4 linked regions of the Notamacropus eugenii genome follow. The protein of the gene in region 1 purifies or fractionates together with the protein of each later gene. This does not show direct contact. Links are inferred from orthologs where the notes say so. Each region holds a gene or a part of one and is shown on either strand. Other genes may lie near its edges. The genes, in order: AXIN1, LRP5, PPP2R5A and DVL1.

What was found.
Region 2: the proteins of AXIN1 (region 1) and LRP5 purify together in Homo sapiens (affinity purification with western blotting; 3 studies listed by BioGRID). This does not show direct contact. The link is inferred for Notamacropus eugenii from reciprocal best matches to the Homo sapiens genes AXIN1 and LRP5.
Region 3: the proteins of AXIN1 (region 1) and PPP2R5A purify together in Homo sapiens (affinity purification with western blotting; 3 studies listed by BioGRID and IntAct, with this or other methods). This does not show direct contact. The link is inferred for Notamacropus eugenii from reciprocal best matches to the Homo sapiens genes AXIN1 and PPP2R5A.
Region 4: the proteins of AXIN1 (region 1) and DVL1 purify together in Homo sapiens (affinity purification with western blotting; 3 studies listed by BioGRID). This does not show direct contact. The link is inferred for Notamacropus eugenii from reciprocal best matches to the Homo sapiens genes AXIN1 and DVL1.

What each region holds. Positions count from the first base shown.
Region 1 is NC_092872.1:54,636,922-54,644,278, reverse strand, and holds the start of AXIN1 (axin-1), read right to left. Parts: upstream 3,015-7,357; 5' UTR 2,886-3,014; intron 1-2,885. UniProt on the Homo sapiens protein: Component of the beta-catenin destruction complex required for regulating CTNNB1 levels through phosphorylation and ubiquitination, and modulating Wnt-signaling.
Region 2 is NC_092873.1:20,619,898-20,627,106, reverse strand, and holds the start of LRP5 (low-density lipoprotein receptor-related protein 5), read right to left. Parts: upstream 3,007-7,209; 5' UTR 2,785-3,006; coding exon 2,730-2,784; intron 1-2,729. UniProt on the Homo sapiens protein: Acts as a coreceptor with members of the frizzled family of seven-transmembrane spanning receptors to transduce signal by Wnt proteins.
Region 3 is NC_092873.1:426,020,007-426,027,714, forward strand, and holds the start of PPP2R5A (serine/threonine-protein phosphatase 2A 56 kDa regulatory subunit alpha isoform), read right to left. Parts: upstream 3,020-7,708; 5' UTR 2,937-3,019; coding exon 2,729-2,936; intron 1-2,728. UniProt on the Homo sapiens protein: The B regulatory subunit might modulate substrate selectivity and catalytic activity, and might also direct the localization of the catalytic enzyme to a particular subcellular compartment.
Region 4 is NC_092876.1:34,807,029-34,814,028, reverse strand, and holds the start of DVL1 (segment polarity protein dishevelled homolog DVL-1), read left to right. Parts: upstream 1-3,985; 5' UTR 3,986-4,126; coding exon 4,127-4,296; intron 4,297-7,000. UniProt on the Homo sapiens protein: Participates in Wnt signaling by binding to the cytoplasmic C-terminus of frizzled family members and transducing the Wnt signal to down-stream effectors. Plays a role both in canonical and non-canonical Wnt signaling.

The sequences.
Region 1 (7,357 bases):
CAAGTGTTTATCAAATACACCAAAACAAATATGGGATAATGGAAGGAACACTAGACTAGGAATCAGAAGACCTAGGTTGTAACCTGGTTTTGCCACTAATGAACTGCGTGACCTTGGGCAAAGTACTTAACCACTTGGGGCTTCAGTTTCCTCATTTGTCAAAAGAAGGAGTTTGACTAGATCACCCTCCTCTTCTTTTTCTGCTCTAACATTCTATGATCATGTTAAACTTATCTTTCTCCACACAAATGAAATATTTCAGATTCTTTCCACTTACAAGGGTTGTCAATTAACACAAGGCAGGAGACCCTTGCTGTCTCTACAAGTACCAAAAGGAAAACACTCCCCACCAAATCTGTAGACTGGTAAAACACTATTCTTTGATTCTCAGGTCTCCAACACAGAAGTAAATCAATACAAAGTCCACTCACTCACTCATTCAATAAATAAATAAATGCAGTAAAATTAATTCATGCTAGAATAAAGTAACCACAGATATGCAATCTGGCTCAGAGCCTGTAACCTCCAACAACAAAGTTCTCCCTTGAAAGGAATGTGCTTTTAAAAGTCTGATATGCCTTTATAATTTAAGGATTGCATAAGCTCCTTTCCTGAGTACCAGGTGTCTGGACTCTTTAAAAAGTGATATGATCACTAACTTGATTCTCCCACCACAGAAAAAGCCCAAGAACATATTTCAAACCAGAGCAAGGGATGACAATTCAAAGCTACTGAAAATCAAACAGGAACATGGTCTTTTAAGTGACATCCTAACCTTTTCCCTCAGCTGAATTTCTTAGAATTGGAACTGAGCTATTCTTACACATTGTTTCAGGTCAGATACAGTTTCCCACCCAACCAGACTACAGGTGAACTCCTGTAGAAGGGCCTGTGGATCCAAGTGAACTTGAAATACTTCCTGCAGGGAGAAGCACAGAACCTTATTGTGCAGCCCCCCCCCCCCCCAAAAAAAAAAGCTAATCTCCACAATAAAAACCCTTTGTAAAAATATTTTAGATTTGGGCTGAATGAAACCGCTGAAGTATTGATGTATTTACTCTTTTTTCTTCAGAAGTTAAAGTTTTACTGACTCCCTCTAACACTGGTTTTGAGACTGCATATTCCTAAGGTTTCCTGGGGGGGGAGGGGCAGAGGGGGTGAGACGGCAGGCTGGGAGTGGGACTCCTAAAGAAAAAAATCACGCTAGGTGAGGTTTAGTCCGTGGCTACAAAGTTAGGTTTGTTACCTGTTGTCTTGGAAGGTTACAGAAGCAAGGGGCAACCCCTGAATTCTGAGGTCAAACCACATCTAGTACTACACGTTGTACAGAAAAACAACAGTATTTCTGCTCCAATTTGGGGTTATTTCTATGCCACAATCTCTTAATATCCCTCCTTTAGGTCTAATTCTGGGATTCTAACAATCATTCTACAAATCTCCAACTTGCCTCACATTAGGTATCCTCTTCTCACTTGTCTTCTTCAATCCTCCCCCACACACACACCTATGGGACTGACTCCAATTGGACACCGGCTCTACTCTATCCTCAGATTTCCTTATTTGGACCCCCTCTTCTTCACATTTCTCTACATTTAAATGCAGATACATTCCACCATCTCTCCCCCTTCACAACTAGAGATTTTCCTCACTCTGGAAATTTTATTTTTGTAGGGGGGGCGCAGAGGACAAGGTTGGGCAGTGGGTGAATTCAAAGCCTTCTGCTCAAATAGCCCTCCACATGTAAATTCCTCTATCCTATTTTACATACACACAACTAGCTATACTTCATAAACTGCTTTGGCCTCTGCCACATTCTCTCCCTTTCTATCCTACATTTTCATACTCACCTCCAGAATCATCATTCAGCCTTCTCACACCACCTACACCTCTATGACATCCTGACCTTACAAACTCGTAAGCAAGTCCTGTGCTGCTCTTTGGCCTCAGCATCCCCGTCTCCTGACACTCCCAAATTTCATTTTCTATCCTTAAACGTTTCCAGGTCTCCTCATCACTCTCAGGCATATGCAGGTGCCCTATTCCGACTTCTCAGGCATGCCCCAGGTCCCCCCCTTTCCTCTCCTCTCAGGCACTTCCTGGTTCCCCCTCCTTTCTCCTCCCTCTCCCTCCCTCCGGTACCCTTCCTTCTCCTCTCAAGCACCCCTACATCTCCTCCCCTTTCTTTCCCTCAGACACCCCCATACCCCCAGGTATCCCCTTCCCTCTTCTCTCAGATACCCCTAGACTCCAGATACCCCCCCCTCCCCCACTCCTCCTCTCCGACACCCCCCAGGTCCCTCCTCCCCTCTCCCCGTCCCTGATACCCCCAGGTCTCCCCTCTTTCCTCTTCTCAGACATTCCCAGGTCTCCCCCTCCTCTCAGACACCCCCAGGTCTTCCCTTCCCTCTCTTTTCAGACACCCCCAGACCCCTAGTACCCTCTCCCCTCTCCTCCTCTCAGACACCCCCAGACCCCCAGGTCTCCCCTCCCTTCTCTTCTCCCCAAACACCCCCAGACCCCAGGTCCCCCCTCCCCTCTCCGCTCAGACACCCCCAGACCCCAGGTTCCCCCTTCCAGACACCTCCAGACCCCAGGTTCTCCCTCCCAGACACCCCCAGACCCCAGGTCCCTCCTCTCTTCCTCTCCCCAGCTCCCCTCCTCCCTCTCTTTCCCTCCCTGGGACTCGCGCTCCCTCCAGCCGGGCCGGGCCTAGCGCGGGGCCCCGACCTCCCCTGCGGCCACCGAGCTCCCTACAATGGGCCCGGCTCCTGGGCCGGCGGGCTCCGCTCCGGGTCCGGGCCTGCCCCGCGCCCCGCGGCCCCTGCCCGGCCTCCCCCCTCAGGAATGCGCGGCCCCGGCCCGGCCCGGCCTGGCTCCCCACTCACCCGCGCGGCGGCGGCGGCGGGTCCCGGTCCCGGGGCGGGCGGGCGGCCCGGCCCATGCGGCTCAGAGGAGACCAGGCGGGCGGGACGGGGCGGGGGCGCGGCCCCGGGCGCTCCCCATGGCGGCGGCGGCTGCCTCCGGGACGGGGAAGGAGGCCCGTGGAGCGAGGTCAGCGGGCTGGGGCGCGGAGCCGGAGCCGAGCCCGAGCAGAGCCCGGGCTGCGCCGACCGCCCGGCCCGGCCCGGCCCGCTCCTGCCCCGCCCGCGCTCTGGCTTCTGCCTCCGCCGCCTCCGCTCCCCGTGCCAGGCCCGTACTCCGGGCCCCTCCTCCGGCGCTCCGGCTGCGGCCCCGGCCCCGGCCCCGCGGAGGCGGCCCCTGCCCGCTGTGGCTGCTCCTGCCGCGGTTCCTGCCGCCCGAGCCGGGAGCCCGAGCCCCCGAGCCCAGCGAGCTTCAGCTCGAGCCCAGAGCGCCACCCTCGGCGCCGCCGAGAATTGCGGGGGAGGCCCCGGGCGGGGGCGGGGGCCGGGGCGGGGCCCCGAGAGGGGACGCGCACTGGGGGCGGGGCAAGTGTGCGGCGGGGGAGGGAGGGAGAGACGAGGGAGGAGCTCCAGTAGTGGGAGGAGGGGCTGAAGGAACGCGGCGGGAGGTGGAAGGAAGGGGAAAAGGAGAGGGAGTGCGGCTGTGCAGAAGAGACGAGCTTCTGCAAAGCTCCAGCGAGCCTGGTAACCTGGGCAGGGTCCCTTCAGGTCACCGCTCCTCCGTCTGCTCAGCTGTGAAATGCACCTCAATGGTCTCTTCCACTACGAGTCCTAATATGAGGGAAAGGGAAAGAGAAGGTGAAGGAGGGAAAGAAAGAAAAGGGGGGGAGATGAGAGGGAAAGGGAAGGAGAAGGTGAAGGAGGGAAAGAAAGAAAAGGGGGGAGATGAGAAGGAAAGGAAGACACTGGAGGGAAGGCAGAGGAGGAGAAGGGCGGCAAGGAAAGATGGCCAGGAACGTTAGCAGAGGCCCGGAGATGAACTGGAAAGGTGGAGAGAAGAAAGGGCATCCATCCTAAGCTTCCTCTTCTCTCCTCCATACCCCGAAATCCCTTTTCTTCTTTATCCCCCGTTATCTTTTCTTTTGTCCCAGTTGCAGATAACCCTGCAACTTGTAGTCTTGTCACCATATCCTCCAGAAGTGACTGCTCCCTCTCCCTCGCACCTTCAGTATCTCCTTATCCACTGAGTTGTTCCTACTAAAAGATCCAGGTTTCACACATCCTAAAAACAGAACAAAATAAACAAAACCACACACACACAAACCTTCATTTGATAACTACTTCCCCTCAAGCTATCCATCCATACCTATTAAGCTACAGACCAACTTCTCTTCTCCTTTTCCAAGATAAACTCCCTATATCCATTTCCTCCCTTCCCACTCAGTTCTGAGTACCTTGCATTTCTACTTCTGACCCCAGCCCTCAATAAACTGCTCTTACCAAGGATATCTACTAGATCTAGGGCCTTTTCTCAGTCCTCATTCTACTTGATCTCTCTGAAGCTTTGGACCTGACAATCCCTTTCTTCCCCTTTCCTTCTCTCCTCCCTTGAATTACCTGGGATCATAGAATTAGAGCTGGAAAGGAACTGAGCAGGCAGCTAGTCCTGAGTGGGCAGCTAGTCCAGCTTTATTTTAGAGAAGAGGAAATAGCCACACAGAGAAGGTAAGTGACTTGCCCAGGGTGGAAGTCATCAAGTATCTAAAGTAGGGTTAGAACCCAGGTCTTTCTGATGCCAAATTGAGTACGCTATCCACTATGCCACTGGCTCCTGACACAGTTTTCTTTTAGTTCTCCTTCTAGAATTCTAAATAGTTCATTTCAAACTCTTTTGCTAGATCATCATCACCTTCTTTGCCCATTAAGTGGGCTCTGTTCTTTCTATCTATTTAATGTCCTGATCAACTCCCATGGGATCAATTATCATCTTGTTGCAGTTTCTCAAATCTATGTATCTAGAATTGATGTCTCTTCCAGGTTCCAATGCTACATATTCTGTTATCTACAGGACATCTCTACCTAAAACGAGATGCTCATTTTCCTAAAATACATCCCTCTAAACTTCCCTGTCACTTCAGTCATCCAAGACTGATACCACTGGTATGATCCTTGAGTCCTCCCTCTCCCTCAATCCCCATACCCTATCAGTTGTTAATACTGCCTTCATAACATCTCTGCCATCAGTCCCCTTCTCACACTTCACAAGATCATCACCCTAATTCAGATTCTCATTACCCCTCACGTGGACTATGGCAAAAGCCTCCTAATTGATCTCAAAGCTTCCAAACTCTCCCCTCTCAAATCCATCCTCAACAGAGTTGTCAAACCAAAATTCCTAAAATAAAGGCCATGGCTCACATATCTCTTCTCAAAAATCTTTAACAACTCTCTTGCCTCTAAGAGAAACACAAACTTCCTCAGCATGGAATCTTAAGACATCTACAGACTTAGTGCAGAGTGAGGAAGGAACCATCTGAAGTCCTCCCAAATTCCCCTCGAAACAACTAGAAAACCACCTCAGAATTGACCCAGGAGCAGGAAAGAAGCTTACCAGCACAGCAGGAAAGGTCTGTCTCACTGGGGTGGGAGCGGAGCGAGGTCTAAGAACAGTAGCAGCAGCAGCCAGCCTCACAGAAGGAGACCTGCAGCAAATCTACCTAGGAGGCTCCACCCTCCTGCAAGTCAGCAGCCCCCCAGGCAAGTTAAGCAGTCTATACTGAGAAGCACAGCCCTATCCCCCAAAGCACAAGCCACCAGCCAGGCCTTGACCCCATTGCTGACCAGTACTGAAGCCCTACCCTGGGGCTGCCTAACACTGAGACCCTGTCCCAGGGGCCTACCAGCAGAGAGACCCTGTTTCAATAGCAACCCAGCAATAGGACCCCACCCCTGGGGCAGGCCAGCAGCTAAATTCCACACTTGGTCAACAAGGAAGGCCTACCTCCTAGTGAAAGCCATAAGGGAAGCCTACGTTCCAGGAAAGACAAGCATCTTCTAAGCCCTGAAGCCCAGTGAAAGCCAAGAGTAAAACCTAGAGCCCTAGTGCAAAAACCTTGGGACAGTGCAGAACCAGAGGACAACTCTCACATAAAAACACCAAGTCACAGAAAAAGTGTGGTGAGGGGTGGGGTGGGGAGAGGCAACAAGAAAAAATGAGTTAAAAACAAAAAAGAGCTTGAAAATAGAAAAGTATTATGGTGATAGGAATGATCAAGACATAAACTTAGAAAAGGACATAGTGTCAAAATCGCTATGTGTGAAGACTCAAAGGAAAATGTAATTTGGTCTCAGGCCCGAAGAGAATTCCTGGAAAAGTTTAAAAGAGATTTTTAAAAAGCAAATTAGAGAAGCAGAAGAAAAATTGGGGAAAGGAATGAGAGTAATGCAAAAGAATCATGAAAAGAAGAGTCAATAGAATGGGAAAAAATATACAAAAATTTACTGAGGAAAATAACTCCCTAAGGAACAGAATTGGTCAAATGGAAAAGGAAGTACAAAAGTTCACTGAAGAAAAAAATTCCTTAAAAATTAGAACTGAACAAGTTGAAACTAATGATTCTATGAGACATCAAGATACAATAACACAAAATCAAAAAAGTAAAAGAAAAATAGAAGAAAATGTATAATTTCTCACTGGAAAAACAAATGACCTAGAAAATAGATCCAGGAGAGATAATATAAAAATTACTAGATCAACTGAAAGCCATGATCAAAAAAAAAAGCCAGGACAACATCTTTCAAGAATTTATCAAACAAAACTGCCCTAGACCAACCAGAGAGCAAAACAAAAATTGAAAGAATCCACCAATGATTGCCTGAAAGAGATCCCAAAATGAAAATTCCCAGGAACATCATAGTCAAATACTTGAGTTCACAGATCAAGGGGAAAGTATTGCAAGCAGCCATAAAGAAACAATACAAATATTGTGGAGCTACAGTCAGAATTACATAGGATTTGGTGGCTTTCACATTAAAGAACTGGAGGGCTTAGAATATGATATACCAGAAGGCAAAGTACTTAGGATTATAACCAATAATCACCTACCCAGCAAAATTGAATATAATCTTTCCAGGGGAAAAATGGATATTAAAAAAAATAGAGGACTTTCAAGCATTTCTAATTAAAATATGAGAGCTGAATAAAAAATTTAACCTCCAAATACAAGACTCAAGGGAAACATAAAAAGGTAAACAAGAAAGAGAAAACAAAAGAAATTCACTAAGGTTAAGCTGTTTATTTTTCTATATGTCAAGATAATATTTGTAACTCTTAATATCTTTAAGTAAGGAGCATATGTAGAGAGAGGGGGTGGATAGAAGGTGATTTTGATGGGATGATACTCCCCCAAAAGAAAACAAAATAAAGGAGTGAGAAAGAAAATTGCACTGGAAGAAGGAAGGAGGAGACTGAATGGGATAAATTATCTCCCATAAAA
Region 2 (7,209 bases), on another chromosome or scaffold:
CTCTGCCTCCCATGGCCCGTTCTCTTTCCCCAGGCGGTATGGAACATGAAGAGATTCTCAGGATTCAAAGTCAGGAAAACCTGGATTTAAATCCTGCCTGAGTGATACCTTCTCGCTGCAACCCTTAGGAAAATCACTTCTCTCTGGGACTCAGTTTCCCCTCCAAAAAAAGGAGATACCAATCACAATGGTAGCCACTTAATAGGCCTACTGGGACGTTGATAATGAACGTGCCATGTTTTGCCAGTTTTAAGCCCCACAGAATTAATGGGTTAACATTCACACAGGGCTCAGAACTGGGGTCTCATTTCCCCTCCCCTCCCCCAATTTTAGTTCCCTTTTACATGTGGTCTTCCCACCTGAGAATGTAAACTGGGGGGAGGGATGGCCAGGGGCTTTCTACTTCCTTCTATATCTCAGAGATTCTTTAATATAGTCCCTGGCACACAGGAAGCACATAATAATTGCTTGCTACCTGCCTGCCTTGTTCGTGCCCTGTGAGGGAAGTACTATGGGTATAACTGTTCCAGTTTTAGAGACTGCAAGCTGAGGGCAGAAAGGAAGCAATAGAAGTAGGAGAAAGCATGCTGACTCTGGAGCCAGAGACTTTGGTGCTTCCTCTCTGTTTGATGGAGGCAGCTGGGTGGTGTAGTGGATAGATCCCCCCACTTGGAGTCAGTTGGACCTGAGTTCAAATCTGGCCTCAGACCCAGAGTATATCACTTCAAGCTATTTTGTTTCAGTTTCCTCATCTAAAATGAACTGCAGAAGGAAAGAGCAAACCACTCCAGGATCCTTGCCTGGATCCTGAGAAAACCCCAAACGGGGGCCCAGAGAGTTGGACACGACTGAACAGCAACTTCTGTATGACAGTGGTTGTCACAGCCAGATGACTGGCACATAGTAGGTGCTTAGCTGAATGACTAATGGGGGGAAATAGGCTGAAAATCAAAAAGTAAGGTGACAAAAACTGTCCAATGTGTGCCCAGGAGCCTCCAGGGCGGGGCCTGGAGGGTCTTTGCTCCCTCTACTCCTAAAATGAGAATCAGCCCCAGGAGGAGGGGAGTGTACTCCCAGCACAGAACCTCAGAAAAGGCTGAGGACAAGCAGAAGATGAGGCCTCTTTACTTTGCAGACACAGAGATAAACTTACTGCAAACTCAGTATTAAGTTCAGAAAAGCCCCCAAACCATTAAGGGAGACCCAAGTACAGATACTAAAACCCTGGGCAGAGGCTAGGGGCAGGGAGACCTCCAGCACATTGCTCCCCTTCCACTCCAGCAGCAAGAGGAGGCCGGAACCAAGGGGAGATAAAGGGGGCACTAGACCTGGCCTGGGAAACTGTCCAATACCAATGCAAATCCACATCAGAGCACTCAGATGCAGTGAGGTGTCCAAGGTCACACAAAGAAGAGAGAGATAAAAGGTGGAGGAGAAGCCTGCCCTTCCAGACTCCATGGGCCACCTAGGGCCTCAAACCTAAGCCTTTGGGAGGCAGGCACCCAAAGCTTCCAGACAAGGCCAGGCAATGCCATTGTTTCCCCACACCCTGCAGCGGCAGGCCACAGCTTTTCGTTCCCCCAAAGCTACGTCTACACGAGTAAAATAGTTACCGAAACCTTAGGAACCAGACTTCCCCAGACCACTGCTGCCAGTCTAGCTCCCTCTGCACGTGTAGACTCGCTTAGGACAAGCCAAGGGGCCTCTGACCAGCACCCTCCCTCCAAGCCCGAACCGCCAGGTGAGCAGGGTTTGGGGGACTTCTCTGGGTTCCTCCTCGGCCAAGTCAGGGGAGGCGGCAGAGCAGGCTGCCTCTAGATGGAGGGGCCCAGCAGGGGCTCTCCATGTCTAAGGGGAGGGGGGCTGCAGGCATCGAACCCGGGCCACTGGGGATCACAAGGAAAAGCAGGTGGCCAGAAGTGGGCTGGGCCCCAATGTGGGCTCCTTCCACCTGCGGGTTCTTCTTTCCCCAGCAAAAAAAAGGGGGGGAGCAACGTGCAGGGGGACACGGTGGGTGGTGCTGAGCTCTCCACAGGTGGCCGCCGTACCTGGCAGCCAGCTCTGCTCCAGCAGACTGCCTGAGTGCCCTGCTCCTTTATTGCCACCCTTTTTGGACTCCGCGGGGCGCGCACCTGGGCCACACCCCGTGGCACCCAGGGCCCTGCTCCTGGGGGGAAAGCACCCCAAGCAGGAGGAGAGCGTGGGGTGGGCGCGCAGGCTGGGGGCCCCTGGCTTCCCTCCCGGCTCGGCCTCACGTCTCCCCGGAACCTCCAGACAAAGGGCCCGGACAGCCCCACTCGGGCACTGGCAGGGGCGGGGGGAGCGTGTGCGGGGGCCACTCGGGGGCTTCCTTTCTCTGAACCCCACCCCCAGGGCTCCGGGCCGCCGGCGCGGGGAGTCGCAGGCCCACAAGCCAACTTCTGAACTCGAGATCGGCCGGCCCGCCCGGCTCCTGCTCCCCGCCCCCGGCAGGCAGGCAGCAGGCCGGCCGTCCAGCCGCCGAGCAGGTCCCAGCAAAGTTCTATTGTTTCAACGCCTTTGCAGCACTCCCCAAAAGTGAATGTGTGCCTGTGGGGGATCCCCCCTCGGCCGCCGCCGCCGGCCCCTGTCCCCAGCTCCAGGCTGGGCTGCGCTGGTCCCGGACGATCGCGAAGCCCTGCCTCTGTCCCGGCGGCCCAGGCCCGGCCAAGCTGGGCCCCAGGAGACAAAGCTTCGGGGGCCCCACTCACCTCCCGCTGGAGCCAAGCGGCTGCAAAGGACCAGCAACGCCAGCACAGCCTCCATCGTCCGGCCCCGGCCCGGCCCGGCCCGGCCGCCTCACTCGGGCTCCATGGCGCGGCCCGCGGGGGCCCAGGTGTCCGCGCGTCCCCCCGGGCGGGCCGGCCGGCTCCTGCTCGGGCGCCCCCTCCTGCTCCGGCTCTGGCTTGGGCGCCCCCTCCTGCTCCGACTCCCGCTCCGGCTCCCGCTCCGGCCCCCGCTCCGGCTCCCGCTCCGGCCCCGCCGCCGGCTCCCCAGGGCAGCTCGGTTCCCCCAGCGTGCGCTCCTGGCGCCCCTAGCCCCCTCCCCGCGGGCCTCCCCCAAGCCTCCTCCAACCCAGTGGGAGGACGTTCATGAGGAGGAGGAGGGGGAGGAGGAGGGGGGCGGGAGCCCAGGCGGCTCTCCGCCCCCAGCTGCCTCGCCGGCCCCGCCTCCCCGCCTGCCAGCCCCCATCTAACGCGCTCTCTCGCGCCCGCCAGCTGCCACCTGCCGGGCCTGTCACCCCGCGTGCGGCCGAGCTCCCGAGTGGACTTGTCTGCTGACCTTGAATCCCAAAGACCCAGATGCCTAGTGGACATCTCAAACTCAACTTGTGCCAAACTCCCCCCCCCCCCCCCCAACACTGCCGCCTTCTTAACTCCGCTGTGGTCCAGGGCACCACCCTCCTCTCAATCCTCCCCCTTTCCCCCCCACCCCCGGCTCTAAAGCTGGACACCAACTCCTCCCTCTCCCCCTCCTCCATAGCCAAGCTGCGGTCAAGGCCTGTCGATGTCAACTGGACAGGTTTGCCCAGCTCTGTCTCCTCTGACGGCACTGGCAACCAGCGCTGGCACCGGGGGCAGCCCCTCAGACCTCTGGCTTGGACTACTTCTGTGGCATTCTAGGGGCCTGCCTGCAACAAGTCTGCCCTTCGCAGCTGCCAAGGAGATCTTCCTCAAGCTCAGATCTGACCATGTCACCCCGTACTCAGAAAACTCCAGCGACTTCCTGGCAGCTCCAAGATTCACTATCAAATCCTCTGTCATTCAGTCCCTCCTAACTTCACCTCCCTGCATACACACAAAACTTTCCAGGCTTCTCACATCCCACATCCCACCACACACTCTCCGGTCTCCTGGGTGCTCCAGAATGAGATTCCAGGCATTTTCATGGGCTCTCCCCCCATGCCTGGAATGCTTTCCCTCCTCCAGGCTTCCCTGACTTCCTTCAATACTTAGCTCACATCTACAAGTTGTCCTAACCCCTCTTCATATCAATCCTTTCCCCTGTTGATTTGGGCCCAGCCTTCTGTCCTGTGGGGTCTCTGGCTAGGCTCAGACTGCCCAATGTGAAAGATCCACAAGGGGGACTCAGGAATTCTAACAACACGTGAGCTACCCACACACACACCCACACGAACAAACATACTCTGGCTAATCAGTGACCCATCTGGCAGTCAGTCTTTATTTATTGCTTACTTTGTGCCAAGCACTGTGACAATCCCTGCCCTGTCCAGGGAGGAGCCTGAATGGTGGGTGGAGGGCTGAAGGTGGCCCTGCCCACCATGGCCTCCTGGGCTCTTTTAGGATTCCTGTAAACACCTGGCCTTCTTGGAGCATCTGGATTGGCTGCTCACTGGCTGCCTCCTTTTACTGGGCAAGAAACTGCGGCTCAGAAAGGGCATTCCAGGGAATCTGGATTCGAACTCAAGTTCTCTTACTTCCAGTGCAGGGCTTTTACTGAGGCTCCAGGGCCTCCCCTGAACCTATGTCATCCTGTGCAACCTGAGCCCTCCCCCTCCAACCCCTCTCTCTGTGTCCCTTCTCCCTCTGCCCCTGCTCCCCCTTCTGGGCCTCTACCTTCCAGTCAAACTGGCTTTCTAAGTGTTCCTCACCTGGGACACTCACCCCGAGCAGCTCAGCGACTGTCAGCTTCAGTGCTGGCTGGGTGCTGCCCCAATGCTCTACCACCTCACCTCCCATCTTGGAATCCATAGTTCCCTTGACTGCCTGGGCAGAGTAAGTACAAGGACACCTCCTACAGGAGGCCTTTCTCCATCCCCTCAGCTCAAGAAGATCTTACGTCTTTTACTGCATCCATTTTGTCCATGTTCGTAGGCGTATATATAAAATGTAAGGTCACAATATATGTAAGCTCCGTGAACTTGGATCTCTTTGCATCTCAAGCACCTGCTGCGTCTGTGCCCGGCACACAGTAGGCATTTCATAAGTGCTGACTGAATGATGTGAACAAAGAAATGCTCAAGAGGATGACTGAAAATGTTTAAAGGGAAATCTGGGAACCCCCCCCCCCAAAAGAGAATGGTCTTTGAAACTCAGAATCTCCCAACTGGAAGGAGCCTGGGAAGCCACCTAGTCCAGCAAGGATGAGGAGCCACAAAGAGGGTAGAGCAGGAGCCAGAAGTTTGAACCCTGAGTACCTGTAAGGGTGGGGGTACCTTTGGCACAAACAGGGAACTGAGGAAGAAGTGGGAGCGTGAAGGAAAGAGAAAGAGGTCTGCTCAGGCTGTACCGAGTATGAGATGCCAACAAAAAGTCCAATTAGAAATGCTCAGGAGGCTGTTGAGATCACTGGAATGGAGCTCAGGAGAGACAAGGATTGAATGTAGAGGAACCGTCTGTGCAGAGTGATGAGGTTCAGACTCTGGGAGCCTCCTTGAGCTCCCCTTGAATCTTCCCACTTAATCTGGCCTCTCTTACTCAAATCTAATCTTCCCATTTGTTCCACAGTCTCAGGAAGCCTATGGGTTTTACATTATCATTTCAGGTCTCTGTTGCACCCCCAACCCTTGATCTCATCAAAACCCTATTCCCCAGGCTGCCAGCCACTCCCATCAAGATCTGTATCCATCCACATACTGGCCCTATCTAGGTCTCTGGATTGCCCCACCTGCTTCCCACCCAAACGCTCCGTGGTCTGATTTCTCCTGATAGCCTCCAGCTGTTTCCAGCCTTTGACCCTCCTTGGACTTCTCCTCAAGACCCTTCCTAAATCCCTCCTCCCATCACCCTGGACTACTAGACCCCCCCCCAGACCCCTCCTATACTCTTTTCTGTATTTAGTCCCACCTTGCCTCCATGAAGGCGCTCAGATTGAATCCAGCTCACACCCCGTCTAGCCTGGATTCTATCTGGCCCGCTTGTGAATACAAGCGTTACAAATGCTTAGGGTCCTGAAGAGGCAACCCAATTAGGCGAATCTTTAATAAACTTTGTTTTCTTTGGCTTTAAGAAGGCTTGAGTCGAATTCATTCGAGCACGACCCGGACTGTCGGTATTTTGGGGTCCCCATCACCCCTATAACCTCTTCAAGAGAACTGGCCTCGTGGTGAGGGGAGAGAGAGACAGAGAGACAGAGACAGAGACAGAGACAGAGAGACAGAGACAGAGACAGACAGAGACAGACAGAGACAGACAGAGACAGACAGAGAGAGAGAAGGGCCCTGGGGCACAGCCGCACTCTGAAGCCACTCCGGGCAGCCTCAGTTTCTTTGCCCAGGAGTTTTGTTTTGAGCCAAATGGCCCAGGGCTTACAATGCTAGGCAACGTGGTAAAGACTGAGAGAAGGGAAGGACAGAATTGGAAAATGATTCCTCTTTCCTAAAGTGAGGCCATACAGTCCCTTCAGTGGCTCATTGATTATGAACTCCCCCCCTCCTCCTTCCCTCCCTTCCTCTCTCCCTTTCTTTCCTTCCTTCCTTCCTTCTTTCTTTTATTCTACATCTACCTGATTCAGGAAGGGGTCTGTGTCTATGGGGTCCCTGGGGAAATACAGACTTCACAGGTCATCAACCCAAGAATTGCTTTCTGAGGAGGTGGAGGAGGGATGTATTTGAAAATGAAGGGCTCTAGCTAGGAGCAGTCCTGTGATTTCATTGGTAAAGAGCATTCTCTAAACCAGAGAAGGACATGCCCTTTACCAGCACAAGCTCAACACGTTTTCTGTAACGTAGTCTTAGAGAGTGAACTGCCCAGGATACTAAGAGGTTCCACATCTCACAGCCAGAATGTGTAAGAAATGGGACTTGACTTGGTCTTCCCAAACAAAAAATAGTCATAACATTCTTTAATTAAAAATAATAGCTGGCATATATGTAAAAACACTTTAACAATTAAAAAGTGACCTATGGGCATTTTCTTGTTGCCCAAACCCAAGAGGTAAGGGCTTCAGATCTCGTTAGCTCCATTTTACAGAAGAGAACACTTGAGCTTCTCCGACACTGGAAACTCAGTTAGAACATGCCTGGGGCATTCTCTGAATCCAGGTCTGGCTGATTCCCAGTCTAGTCTTCTGTAGGTGAAGCTTTGAAATGTAAACAGTATATTATGGGGGGAGGGGGATGGGATGAATGAGATGGCTCCTTTCAGTCTAAACACTTGAAAATGTTATGACTTTCTTTTCTTTTCTTTCTTTTTCTTTTTTTTAGGCAGTTTAGCATTAACAATGGGACAC
Region 3 (7,708 bases), on another chromosome or scaffold:
CTAAAGATTGGATTATTTGGTTAAGTAATCCCTGCACATGGTATACTGGAGAAAGCTAGCTGGCACCCTGCCAACACTGGGCCTACGTGAACAAAGTTGTAACATGAGCAGGTTGGTACAAACACATGACAGTTTCTGAATGCATATGTATACTTATTTCACTTTTATAGTAGGATAAAATCTGAGGGCACAGAGGAATATGCAATTTCCCACATATACTACCATCTTCTCTTTCTTTGTTTATTAGGAATATATCTACGCATATGAGAAAATCAGTAGCACTCAACCATGGGGAAAAATATTGTATTTGGGTACCTACAATGCCATACACGAATTTTTCACATTAATTAAGCACAAGTAACGCTAATTGAAGCAATCGGTTAAAATGTGCTTTCCTAGCACTTTCGAAATTCTATTAAAATTAACCTAGTTTTCCTCATAGGTGTAAAAAGAGCAAAGAAAGGTTAAATTTGCATATGCTCATTTGGTTAAATAAATAGCACTTTTCTAAGGAATGTTTGTTTTCCAAAAGGTGATATTCACTAAAAAGTCCAAGAGCCAAACATACATTAACTGCAACATTTATCGCTACAACACTCTAATTTTGTTGTTCCCTTCCACAAAGACCAAACACTAAATAAAATGACTAACTTTCCACTTGTTCAAACTATATGCCATTATAAAGAACACACTTACATTTGACCTTGGGCAGTAAGGTAGCACCAATCAGATGAAATGGAGCAAACATCTCTCCAATTACCTTTCAGGACAGTATGAACAGCAGAAAGGGTTTGGGGGAGGGGGAAGTTATAAAGATAGAGTTCCTTACTTTACAGGATAATTAAGAGCCTTTATTCTCCATTTTTATTTTTTTTATTTAAGTTAAAAAGTAGATATAATACTTAAAAGTCTGAAGTCAATTTATGCTGTACTTTAAACTTGCCTTTAACACAGTGAAATGAAAACTATTTCATACTTTTTCTAACTACAAATCAAATTAATAATTTAGAATTAAAAGGCTTTTTAAAAACCACAACTTTGATTATTTAGGCTAAACAAAGGACCAAACAACTCAAGTTTCTTATAGATGTGAATGACATCACTCTCAAATATTTCTTGGCAATGCCTACTAGTGAGTTGAACTCAAGTGACCAGGATATCTAGGTTCCAATTAATTTTTATTACATATTAAGGAGTAAGCTTAAAGTTGATAGCAGAGGCAACATTTCACAAGTTCCACCTCTATTTAGTTTGATTCTGATTCAGTACCTGCCTTATTTTTCCTAGAAGAATGTCTTCTGTTTAGAGCCTAAGAAGCAGAAACAGTTCTAGAGATTTCATATATACTATAAATGTTTTCTTTGGGGCTTCTTCTTTCAGTCTCTACTAGATTCATACAGCTGGGACCCAGATTGGTTTTAGGAGTGGGCAAAGCAGGGAGAAAAGATTTTAAAATGTACTTTGTGCATTTCATCGTCAAATATATGACTGTGAACCTTTTATTTTTCAGGCCTTGAAAAAAATCTAAGTTTTTACTGAATTTCTTCCATGGTGACTGGCTAGTGTTTGTATCTTTTATTGACTAGTTTTCTAAAACTGTCAAATGGAATCCCACTTCAATCTCAGACAGCATCTTTATCCATTAAATGTCAAAACTATACAAACGCAAAGTATTTCTGTTAAAGAAAGAGGAAAATTACAGTATTTCCCAATAACACCGGGGAAACAACTCCGTCAAAATCTTATAAAGTGAGAGGAAAATCCAATGGGATTGCTAATTTCCTCTGCACAGCTTTGGATAGAATCTCATTCTGAATTGCTGTATTTCAGAATTCTCATTCTGAAAAGCTACAGAACTGGGACAACGCACTCACAGGAAAAAATTATCATAGCACTTTGAAAAGGATTGTCTTCATTATGCCTTTCCCATTTTGCCCTCGGTGCATTCGGAGCCCACAGGGGTTGTAAAGTCTTCCTGGTCCCCAGGTTAGGAAAATGCGTTTGTTCTGCATTATCCAGTGAAAAGTTCCACTTGAAATATCTAAGTAATTTCCTAAAGCCCAACTAGGAGGACAGCTGTTTACATCAGCAGGCTTCATCAATATGGCCTCTAGGAGTAATCACTGGGAGGGGGAGTTTGCGTGTGTCTCTATGTGTGCGTGAGTGTGTGTGTATGTGTGTGTGTGTGTCTGTGTGTGTTGCCAGCCTACTCATTACCCTAAAAGTCAAAGGAAAGGCTTAAAGTAGCAGAGAAAAGTGAGGAAACCCGAGGAAAGCTAAAGTCGGAAGAGGAGAAGGAACCGGGGCGGGTGTTAAAGCAAGAAGGAGGCAGATGAGCTTTGGAGAAGTGTGCCTAAGTTTAACCTGAGTTCAAATCCGACCCTCTGGCCATCGAGGGGTCCCAGGTGGAAAAGGGGAACCGAGACCCAGGAGGCTGCAAATTCTGGCTGACGAGAAAGGGAAAGCCGGTGTAACTTTCCCCCCACTCCCCTCCCCCGGAGGCCTTCAATACCAAGGGTGGTTCTGAGATTGGATGGGGAGGAGGAGGTAATTCAGGGACAAAACCACCACCATCTCAGCACCTCCGAGGAAGTGAAGCCTACGCTTCTTGCACTGCACCCCGAGAGCCGGGCACAAGCTGGAGGTGGCGGGAGGGGGAGTGACCGTGTCCAGGAGGAGGAAGGGCGAGCCGGGCCCGGGGGCCAGCGGCGGCGGGGACTGCGGTTACCTTTGAGCTGGGGCAAGGGCTGCAGCTCGGGCAGGTTGCTCTGACAGCGGAACTGCGACGAGCCCTGCGCGCGCTTCTGCCTCAGCGCCTTGCGCACCGATTTCCGGGTGAAGCCGTCCACTTTCTCCGAGGCCGAGATGGCGGTGCTGGCCGGGGACGACGACGACATCGCGGCCGCCGAGCTCGGCAGCTCAGGCTGGCGCTGCATGGAGGCGGCGGCGGCAGTCACGGCAGGAGGAGAAGGAGGAGGAGGAGCGGAAGCCCCCACCTCCCGGCCCCGTTCCCCCTAACTGCCCGCACCCTCCCCGCTTTCGGCTCCCGGGAGAAGGGAAAGCGGCTCCCGCGCCGCTTAAGCGCCCCGTTCCTTGTCTTCTCGCTCCTCCTGCCCCGGGCCGGCCGGCCGCCCTCCGCCTGCCCCCCAGATCTTCAGAGCCCCATCCCGGGCCGGGCTCCCAGCTCCGCACGCGCTCCTCCCGGGCTGCTCCAAGTTGGGGGCTGCGGGCGGAGCTGCAGGGAAGTTCCTCGGAGCGCTGGGAGCAGAGGACTCGGAGAGCCGTCCAGGAGAGCGCCTCAATTGCCGCTGCCGGTGCTCCTGCCGGGAGGCGCCCCCGCCGCGGCCATCCCGGGGCTCCGCACGGCCCGAGCTGCTGCTGCCGCCGCCGCTACCGCGGTGTTCCCCCCCACCCCTTCGGTGTCTCCTCGCTCCTGCTCAGCGGCGGCCCCTCATTCCCCGAGCGGGAGGTGGACCCGCGCTCCCGGACCCTCCACGCCGCTCCCAGCTCTCCGCCGCTCCGCTCCGCGCCGCCAAGTTCAAACCCCCCCTCCCCCACCCCGCCCGCCTGCCGGTCCACAGCCCACGGCCAACCCCCGCAGCGCCGCGACCGCTACAACTCGGGAGGGTGGCGGACACTGGGGAGGGTGTGCGCGCCCGCGCTCCTAGCCCGGAGTTCGCTCGGCCGGAGGGAGGGGCCTACGGCGGGGGAGGGGAAGAGGAGGAGGAAGAGGAGCTTGTGTCACTGACGAAAACCGCGAAGCTAATTAAGGCTCCAGGAGGTGGGGGGCGGGGAGCGGGCTAATAGGGGATAGAACCTATAAAGGGGTGGTGAACTAAACAGAAGTGACAGGCGCTACCCGCCAATGCAAACCGAAGCCACTGGAGAGAGGCGGGGCACGCCTAACAGTCAATCACACAGCTTAGGGTAGCACTTAGAAAAGCTGAAAAGAGACTAAGGCTGGACTAGGGAGGGCAGGGTAGGAGGGGAAAGAGGGAGGGGACGCTGTGTGACGGACATCTCTCTCAACCAATGACCGATGAAGGGAGGGAGGCGCGCTACCAGCGTCATAGCAGTGGAACCAACACTCCAGAGCGGGAGAAGGGAGGTACTGTCGCCCCCCAACACACACACGCACACAAACTCACATACACACACATACACACGTGTGTTCGCGTGTTAATTTTCCGGTAGCCAATGAAAGAACAGGGAGACTAGAAAGGGGTAGGGGGATTGGCTTTGCCGGACACTCTCCTCACCCCCTTCCCGCCCACCTCCTAGGCCCGCTGGCCAATGAGCGACTGAAGCGACTGACAGCAACCATAGGGACGGGCTCCCGGAGGAAAGAACGCCCGGTGATCCGTCACTTAGAAGGGCAGCCTCACGGTCCAGTCGGGGCGGGAGCGGGCACTGATTGACAGCCTGCGGGGAATCCTGGGGGAACGCGAGGGGAGGGAAAGGAAGGCTTCTAAGGGCGGGCGTTGGACATAAAAGCCTTCCCCAAAGTTTTTATGTGTGTTGGGGAATGCAGGCGCCTCCCCTTTCTCGGGCTCGTTAGGAGCACATGCGCTAGGTTCTGAAGCCACCGCACATCTTTCCAGAAAAGCCCCCAGGCTGACCTCCCCCGAACCGCTCTCTTGGACCGTACTAGAAGTTTTCCCCTTCTTTCCCCAACTCAAGGTCCTCAAATACTAACCAACCAGAGAGTTTTTAAAAACACAAAACTGCCCTGTTTATTCACAAACTTGCCGTATACCCTTGGCCCGACCTTGCTTCCAGCTCACTACACCTTCTCTCCAAACTGTCTTCTCCATAAGGTACAAACTCTTTAGCTAGGGCTTCAAAGCCTGACCTTTAAAGACCTTTCTAGTCCTTGTGGTATCATTCCCCTGGGAGGGGTTCTTTCCCTCAGGTGTCTAGATTTCAGGAGTCTGTGAACTTGGATGGAAAAAAATTGCACATTTATTTTCACTAACCTCTCACTGAAATTGAGCATTTCCTTCAATTATGCACAAAATCACCTTTATTCTAAGAGGGGATGCAACAGCTTCACTCCTCAAATTGTCAAAGGGTTCCATGACACACACACAAAAGTTTAAGAACCCCTGATATGACAGATCCATCCATTAAATAGATCAATCTATTCCCTTTTCCAAAATGTACCCTTGATTTTCCCACCTCTGATTTTCCTTCTACTTAAGGTACGGGCAGCTAGGTGGTGCAGTGGATAGAACACTGGGTTAAAGTCAAGAAGACCTGAATTCAAACCTGGCCTCGGACACTTGCTTGCAGTGCGACCCTGGGCTAGTTACTTAACCCTGTTTGCCTCAGTTTCCTCATCTGTAAATGAATAGGAAAAGGAAATGGCAAACCACTTCAGCATCTTTGCAAAGAAAACCCCAAATGGTCTCATGACAAATCAAACAGGACTCACCAACAATATAGGGGTTCTTAACCTAGGGTCAGTGAACTTGTCTTTTCTTGTAATATTTTGATACTTGCATTTCAATATATTTGGTTTCTTTTGTGATCCTATGTTATATGCTGTTGTGAAAAAGGGTCCAAAGTCTTTACCACAACACCAAAGAGGATACAATACAAAAAAAGTTAATAATCCTTGGCCTAGAACCTGCTTTTACTCCCCCAGTCTGCATCATTGGAGCTGAATCTGAAGGCAAGAGGACTTGGTTCAAATCAGAGGCAGCACATAGTACAGTGGATAAAAGGCTGTGCCTGGAGTCAGAAAGACCTAGATCTAATCCATTCTCAGACGCTGGTTCTGCAACCCTTGGTGAGTATTTAACCTCTGTCACCTCAGTTTCCTCAAATGTAAAATGGGGATAATAATAGTACCTCACAACCTAGTTGTTGCAAGGATCGGTTAAGATAACTGTAAAGTGATTAGCACAGTGCTGGCACACAGTAGATATTTAATGTTTATTTACTCCTCTTCATACCAAATCTCAGTTATGCCTCTTTCCTGTATCATCTTAGGCCAGTCTCTCTAGGCTTAAACTTCTTTATCTGTTAGATGAGTGAGGTTGGTCTATGACTCTAGGATCTCTTCCAACTCTAGATCTGTGACTCTATGATCTTATGAGGTATTTCAAAATGCTTGCTTTTCTTCATGACCCAGATCAAACTCTCCAAGATGTCTTCCCCACTGAGCCCAGTCCTACCTTTCATGACCATCTATTGCACACAGCTATCACACTCATATAGCAGTTAAAAATTGACTTGTGTTGTATTTATCAAGATTTGGGATATATAGTAGAAGAGACACTGGATCCAGAATAAGATGTCCTGAGTTCAAATTTGGCTGTGTTACTTACTATTTTTCAGACCTTGAACAAGTCACTTGAATGTCTCAGTTCTTTCACTTGCTACTTCCTAATTTAACACTTTCTTTCCAGGAATAGAGCCTTAGAGGGTGGTTGTTATCTTGGATTCTAGGGATAACCCTATGTGTGACTGTTCCTACAAATATAATTTCTGAGCCCCCATTGGTATGCTTCCCATAAACAGTAAGCCAGTAGATACAATGAACTCTTAGCCAAAGGCATTTACTAAGAAGATAAAGTAAAATTATACCTACAAAACATTTACTCCATAAATCTGGGGCATACTCTCCCCTCAAATACACCCAGCTTCAACAGGAAAAATAGGCTTAACACTTGCAGCACAATGGTAATGAGACCCATACATTAAGGAAGCCATATGATCTATAGCCATATAATCCTATGATCTAAAGTTTTTATTTTTTCCTTCTAGACTGTGAAGTCTTAGAGGATGTTCATATTTTCTTTATCATGATCTAATTTCTTACACATTGTATTTAATAATTTAAAAAATGTCTGATTCTTGGTCTCCTTTATAATATCTATTTTCATTTAGGGCTTTTTGGATATTATTTTATGCCAGTTCCAAGATCACTGCTATGTAATATTATCTTTTGGTAATGAAGAAAGAACCATTGTCATGAATTTAGAACAAAGGGATCTTAGATCCCATTTATTCCAGCCTCCTTATAGATAAGAGAATTGAGACCCAGAGGGATTAAATGGTTTGCTCATGGTCACAAAAGTAAGGGGCTGATTCCATTTCAGCCCTATACCACCAAAGTTGAAGGAGAATTCTACAAAGAGTCAGAAGTCCCTGTTCTGCCACTTATTAGCTGTTAGCCAAGTTACTTACCCCCTCTAGTACCTCATTTTTATTAAAAACTCTGATCTCTTAAGCCCATGAATTTTATTATACTTAAATAGAATATGAGACAAAACATATTTAAGAGAGGGAATATGGTTCAGTAGAAAGAAAACTGGTCTTGCACTTAGAAGAAACCCAGGTTTAAATCCTTCTTTTGTCACTTAACTAGCTGTGTAAATATAGGCAAGTCACTAAAAATCTTGGAACTTCAATTTCTTCATTTTTAAAATGGGGAAATTATATTTGTTCTACTTACTTCAGGGTAGTTCTGAGGAAATTGCTTTGTAAATGTTCAAGCACTGTCTTAATCTGAGTTGTTATACAACAGAAAACACACAAATATAGTACATAACTAGTTGCAGATGTATAAAGCTACATTTATAAGTGTTGGGATGGAGTTGTTGGAAAAACTGGAGTAAATAGAAATGAGTTGGAATTAGTCTGGGAAAACTTTTTTGGAAGAGATGATTTTAAAGTAGAATTTTAAAGGAAGAGAGTATGT
Region 4 (7,000 bases), on another chromosome or scaffold:
CTCCCCAAGATGGCATGCAATCTGATATAGGCTATACGCATTTTCCCATTAGTCATGTAGGGAAAGAAGAGTCAGAAGAAAAGCAAAAAACCACAAGAAAGAAAAAAAATCAAAAGAGAGGAAAATAGCGTTTTGATCTGCATTCAGACTCCAGAGGTCTTTCTCTGGATGGGGATGGCATTTTCCATCATGAGTCTTTTGGAATCGTCTTAGATCATTGCTTCGCTCCAAAGAGCTAAGAATGACAAAATTTTTAGTGAGTGCTAAGTACTACCTATACCAATGCCACACAAGCTTGAAGTGTGCGTGTGCTTTTCAGGCTACACTTAAACCCTTTCATAAAGGAAATATGAACATGGAGAAACCAAATTTTAAAATGATTTTATATAAAATTGAACCTCTGTCACTTACAAGTGGATCGGACACCTGCCTTAGAGGCAGGAAGACTTAGGCAGAAGTCCTGTCTCTGTGGGATCACAGGCAAATCACTTAACCTCCCTAGGACCCAAGGAACTCTCTAAGCCAATTCAACAAACATTTACTAAGCATTCATAAAAGGCGACAGAATCCCTGCTCACAAGGAGATTACATTCTACAGAGATATACGTGTGTACATAAGTAAATGCAAAGATCTATGAAGTTGTAGAAGGTAGTTTGTTTTAAAAATTTTTTATTGGTATCTTTTGTTTTTTACATCACCTACATTCCCCAATACATCCTTTTCCCTCCTTTACAGGGAGCTCTCCCTTATAACAAAAATAAAAACAGGGGAAATGACCAATTTGGAGAAAGTAACTAACATATCGAAAAAGTCTGACATCATTTGCAGCGATCCACACCCAAAGTCCCCCACCTTTGCTAAGTAAGGTTAGGGCACAGTTTGGTGTCAGGGACAGCTAGGTGTCCTTGTGGATAGAGTGCTAGACAAGGTCAGGAAGACCTTAGACATGGGCAAATCATTTAACCTCTCAGCCTCAGTTTCCTCATCTGTAAAATGGGGATAGGGAACTCTCAGAAGAAAAAACTTCCTGCCAATGCAGGTCAATACCTTCTCTTTGATTCACAGTCTTAGAGACCATAAAAAGTTAAATAACTTGCTCAGTCAAATGCTAATAATAATAGTAATAACTGTTGTTGTTACTGCTGGTGGTGTGCAGTGGATGGAGCACTGGACCAAGAGTCAGGAACTGCTTACTAGCTGTGTGACCCTAGGCAAGTCACTTGATCTCTATCTGCCTTCCTCTTCTCATCTTTAAAATGGGGATAATAATAGCACCTCTCTCCCTCCCAGGGTTGTTGTGAGGATAAAATAAGATAATATTTGTAAAGTTCTTTGTAAACCTTAAATTGATGTATAATATATATATATACACACATTTGTATATGCAAATAGATGTATCTATAGCTATTTCTTCTTTTAATTTTTTTTATTTTCAGCACCAAATTCTCTCCTGCCTCCATCCATTGAGAAGGCAAGAAATAGGATATCATCATACGAATGAAGTCACACAAAATAGTTTTCCACAGTAGACATGGCAGTCCCCCCAAAAAAACAAGAAAATATTTGAAAGTAAAAATATATGCTTCATTCTGTACTCAGATTCCTTCAGTTCTCTCTCTGGAGGTGGATAACATTTTTCATGATGAGTCCTTTGGAATTATCATGGGTCATTCTCTTGAACTGTTCCTAGTTCATCATTGTTACAATGTTGCTGTTACTGTGTATGTACAATTGTCTCCTGGTTCTGCTCACTTCACTTTGCCTCAGTTCATATAAATCTTCCCAAGTTTCTCATCATTTCTTACAGTATGATAGTATCACATCATAATCATATGCCACAACTTATTAGTCATCCCCCAAATTATTTTTTTCCAAGGGGGGGAAGTACTAATAATTGGAGGGATGAGGAAAGGCCTCCTATACAAGGTTGACTCTAAGTTATTTTTTGAAGGGAGGTAGACGGACTAGACATTGGGGACATTGGGGACATTGCTACAAATAGTATTATAAATATTACAGTATGACAAATAGTATCCCATTTGATCTTCTTTACAACCCAGGAAGGTAGGTACTATTTTTCTTCCTACTTTAGTTAAGGAAATTGAGGCAGGCAGAGGTTAAGGAGCTTGCCCACAGTCACATAGCTGATAAGTGCCTGAGATCACATTTGAACTCAGGTCTTCCTGATTTCAGGCCCAGCTAGACCTGGGCCCCCAAAACTCCCTATGAATGCTAGCAAAATACTAACCAAAATATTCAGCCTTCCTACTTGGCTTCTGGGAGAGCAGCTTGGAGAAAATGGAGCTCCCAGTGCATAGGACAGGGGACAGATATATTGTATCAGCTTCCAATCTGTAACAATATTATCAGCCCCCACTCAGTGTCTGGCTACAAGCAACCTCAGAGGTCACCTCCCTTGCTTGGATGTAAGTGACAGATAGGAGACCCAGGCTCTCTCCCAGGACCTGTTGAAGACAGGTAGACCCTGAGAGGAAGCAAGGTGGCTCAGTGGATAGAATCTCTTGCCTGAAGTCAGGAAGACTCATCTTCCTGAGTTCAAATCCGGCCTCAGAAACCTACTAGCCCTGCGGTCCTGGGCAAGTCACTTAACTCAGTTTGCCTCAGTTTCTTCATCTGTAAAAACTGAGCTGGATAAGTAAATATAGCAAACTGCTTCAGTATCTTTGCCAAAAATGGGGTCATGAAAAGTCAGACGCACCTGAAGGAGCCATTCTAATGGTGGACAGGTTTTGGAAAGCAGCTGGGGGAGACCTATGTAAGAAACACTCCCAAGCCAGAGACACAGAGATACAGACAGGTGCGTATACAGACATCGAGACAGAGACATGGAGACAGAAATACAGAGCCTGGAGCCAGAGTCACACAGAGATATAGAGTGACACAGCCAGAGACAGAGATACCCACACATATTGACACAGAGGCAGAGACACCTAGAGAGACAGAAAAACGGAAACACTGAGACAGGGAGAAAGTGACATAAAGTGACTCCTAGCCAGACACAGGAGCTCAGATACAGAGACACACAGGGCCAGGCAGACTGAAGAAGGGAGACAGCCACAGAGAAAGGAACCCGCCAGGTCCTCCCTCGCAAGACCCTGCCCAGGACGGTCCTCTGACTCCAGGCTGCAGAGGCTGAGATCGCCCCCCAGGGCAGCGAGCAGCCCTCCCAAACCCCGACAGCCTTCAGCGAGGGGGAGGCACGGACGTCTCGTGACTGCGGCCGTAATCACGGGGGTCGGGGAGGGGGGACAAGGTGAGACGTCTCCTGGCTGTCCCTTCCCAACCCCCTCCCCCGCGATCACGGCCGCTGGGGCTGCGGTCCCTTTAATTCGGCCCTTGGCTGTGGAGGGGGGCGAGGCAGAGCCACGCGCAGAGACGTCGCGAGGGGCGGGGGGGCGGGGGGCGGTGCCGACGAGGGTGCGGGCGGGGGACCGGGCGCTGGGACTGGGTTCGGAGCTGAGGCTCGGGGCGGGGAGGGGGCGTCACGGAGGGAGGGGCCGCGGGCGGAGGCAGGCAGGGAGGGGGGCCCGGGGGCAGGGGGCCGGGCCTGGCCGGGCGGGGCGGCCGCATTACTCACGCTGCTAATTGCAGGGCGCGGGGAGCCCCCGATCCGGGCTCGGCGCTTGCCTGCCTGTCTGTGGCCCGCTCGGGCTCCGGCTCCCGCCGCCGCGGCCCTTTAGAGCTCGGTCGGTCCCCGGCCCGCCTCCAGCCAACCCGGCCGGTGGCCCCGAAGCCCCCCCCGGGCAGGCGTCCGAGGCGGCCTCCCCCGGCGCGCCCGGGCCGGGGCGCGGATGGGCGGCCGCGGGGGCAGCGCGGGGGGCAGCAGCCGGCGCGCCGCCTCCGCCTGGACCTCGGCCTTGGCCTCCCCCTGCGGCTGGCCCGGCCTCCCTGCTCGATCGGGAGCCGCCTCCGCCTCCGCGGCCTGGACCGGGGCCTGGGCCCCGTCGGCGCAGAAAGCCCGAGCCCCCGGCGCCCGGCCTCCGCTCCTGCGGCCGCAGCCGCGGTCCCCTCGGGGCCCCGCACTCCGGGCTCCGCGCTGAACCGGCGCCTCTGCCTCCGACGCCCCCGACGCCCCCTGCCCCGGGCTCCCCCGGTCCGCCCCCCATGGCGGAGACCAAGATCATCTACCACATGGACGAGGAGGAGACGCCCTACCTGGTCAAGCTGCCGGTGGCCCCCGAGCGGGTCACGCTGGCTGACTTCAAGAGCGTGCTCAGCAACCGGCCGGCTCACTGTTACAAGTTCTTCTTCAAGTCCATGGACCAGGACTTCGGGTCAGTGGCGGCCTTGGCGGCGTGCGCGGCTCCCGGGGCCCTGCTGGCCCTGCCTTTGCTCTGGCTCTGGCCTTGTCCCTGTCTCTGACCCCATTCCTGTCTCTGACTCCGGCCTTGGCCATCTCTCTCTCTGGCTCTGGCTCTGGCTCTGGCCCTGGCCCTGTCACTGGCCTCGTCCCTATCTCTGGCCCTGTTCCTGTCTCTGGGAGGGGGTGCATTGAAGGGTTCAAACCTCTCCCTACCCCAGGGCACCTGTTCCCTGACAGAGGGGTGGAGCTTCTGGCTGGGGTCCTTATCCCCTGTCCCCTCGTTTGTGCCTCGGGCTTAGTGTGTGTATATCAGTGGGGTTCTGGGGCTCTGCAGCTATGACTGGGGTGAAGTAAGCCACCCCATTGTGGGGACAGAAGTATTTAAGTGAGGAGAGTCCTTCCTCCTCCATCTGAATGTCAGCACTGACCAGGGTGGGTGGAGGAAGATGGGCCCTCTCTGGCCTTGGCAGGGTTTTTTGCCCTCTCAGACTCCTGGCTGGGCTGGGCACGCAGGGTTCTGTCCCGGGAAGGCCAGGCTAGGCCGCTGAAGCTAACATGGCTGCCCTGGCCAGAAGGCCTTGGGAGCTGGCGAGGGTGCCGGAGTTGGGGGGGGTGGAGGGTGCACCAGTGTGAAGGCAACTACACCCTCCTATATCAGCCGACTCTGGCCCCCACCTCTCTGATACCAGAGGAGTGGCTTCCCCTTCCCCCAAGCCTAAGAGACGGCCCTACTCCCTCCATTCTCAAGGGCCTCTCTCAGCATCCAAGGGATTAATGGGAGTTAAGAGGTGGGGGCTAGGACTGTGTCCTGGCTGAAACCAGGAGAGTTCCTCTCCTTCTCCAGGATCCTTTCTTGGGGAGAGGTCAGACCCTGTCTCTAGGGTCTCCCTGTCTCCCTGACTTGATGGCAGCATGCTGGCTGCCCACCACAGTGGCTGCCCACCATAGTGGCTGTCTACAGGGCTTAGGAATCCATTTTCTGAACCCCAGAGTCTGCTGGGTACCTGTTACTTTTCCCAGTCTCATTGCTGCTGTTTTCTTAGGAGGGGCTAGTTAGCCAAGATGGAGCTTTTCCCTTCTAAAGCTGGTGCTGGGGCTCATTTAACTAGGGCTGAATCTTTGCTAGCCAAGCCTGAGTGGGCCCTCAGCTGAACATCCTCAGCCCTGGCCCATTTTCTGTCCAGTGCCCCACTGGGTTTGGCTGGTTGACCTCCCTCCTATCGATTAGGCCTGGTAGGGCCTCTGACTGTGCCCTTGTTTACCAGCCACTTTCTGAGAGTTTGACATTGAAAATCATTTCCTGGTTCACATGGTTGCCTGCTGCCTCTGGCCCTGAGGAGGGCTGCCTGTTTCAGGGCAACGCTTTGGGGAACTGAGGCTTTACCCTGAGCAGCATTTGAACCCTTGGGGCTCTATGGGGAGCCAAGGTTTAGAGGGGCCAACTCTGGGGAGGCAAGGGCAGGTGCTAATTCTGTAGTGTCAAACTCAGAAAGTGAGATTCCAAGGGAGTCTCTAAGTTGTACATAATCTCTGTGGGGGAACATACCGACTTAGAAAGCTATGCATTAACATTATCTATGTTCTATTATATTTTTTGTTAAATTTTTAATATGACTTTCCAGTTACATTTTAATCGGGTTCCAGTCTCACTCAGAACTGTTGCATTTGGGATAGTGCATTTGACCGCACTGGTATACAGTAGAAAGGAGACAGAGGGCCCAGGTTTGAATCCCAAGAGTCCAATGGAATTCTTTGATTTTAGGAGCAGTATCATCAGTCACAGGATGTTAGAGAGAATGTCTTCCACTTCCAAAGTTGTGTGACTTTGGGCAGATTCCTTCCTCTTTCTGGGTCTCAGTTTCCTTATCTGTAAAATGGAGGGGCTGGACCAGATGACCTCCAAGGTCGCTTTCAACTTTACATCTGTAATCCTGTGGTTTCTGCTCCAGAGCAGGGGCTCTTCATCGTAGATAGGGTTGAGAGCTGCTTTCCAGTTATCTCTGAGACCTTTCCTCCCTCCTTCCCCCTCTCCCCAAGCTGAAAGAGCTCCAGACCCCTTTCTGGGGTGCCAGGGGTAGAGACAGAGGATCCTCATGTCTGCCTAGCTCTGAGATTAGTTTCTCGTGCTGGACAGCGCTGAGGCCCCCTCCTTAGAGGTTTTATTGGCTGGGAGGCCTCCGCTACTGAGCCAGTTCTTGGCCATTGGGGGAGGGGCATCAAGATTTCCCCCTCCCCCCATCCCTGACCTCTTTGCAAATCGAAGTCTGGTTTTGGAAGTTGCTTTTGTAAGCTCCTTTGTGGAGCTGGGATCGTGTATTCTGGCCTTGAGCCCCAAGACTCGAGTCTGGGGCTGCAAAAAGGATTGGTGCGTCTGGTGGTATCTTAGGGAACCCTTCGTGTGGGTACACCCACTTTCTGATGACCCAGGCTCCCGGTCTTTTGGGGAAGTCTGGCCTGGGGGAGGGGGGACTGGGATGCCTGGCCTTTCATCCCTGGGGTGGGGGGAGCTTCTGGGCTCTGTTCTGCTTGCTTGTTCATCGTATTTAACCTCAGGTCCCATTAAGCCCTAGGTTTATGGAATCTGGGGCTGGGCTCTGGGCCTGGGGTTCGAACTCTAGGGAGGAGGAGTAACCGAAGGAATAGCCTTCCCCAGGGCCTGGTTAGACCTTAAGTGA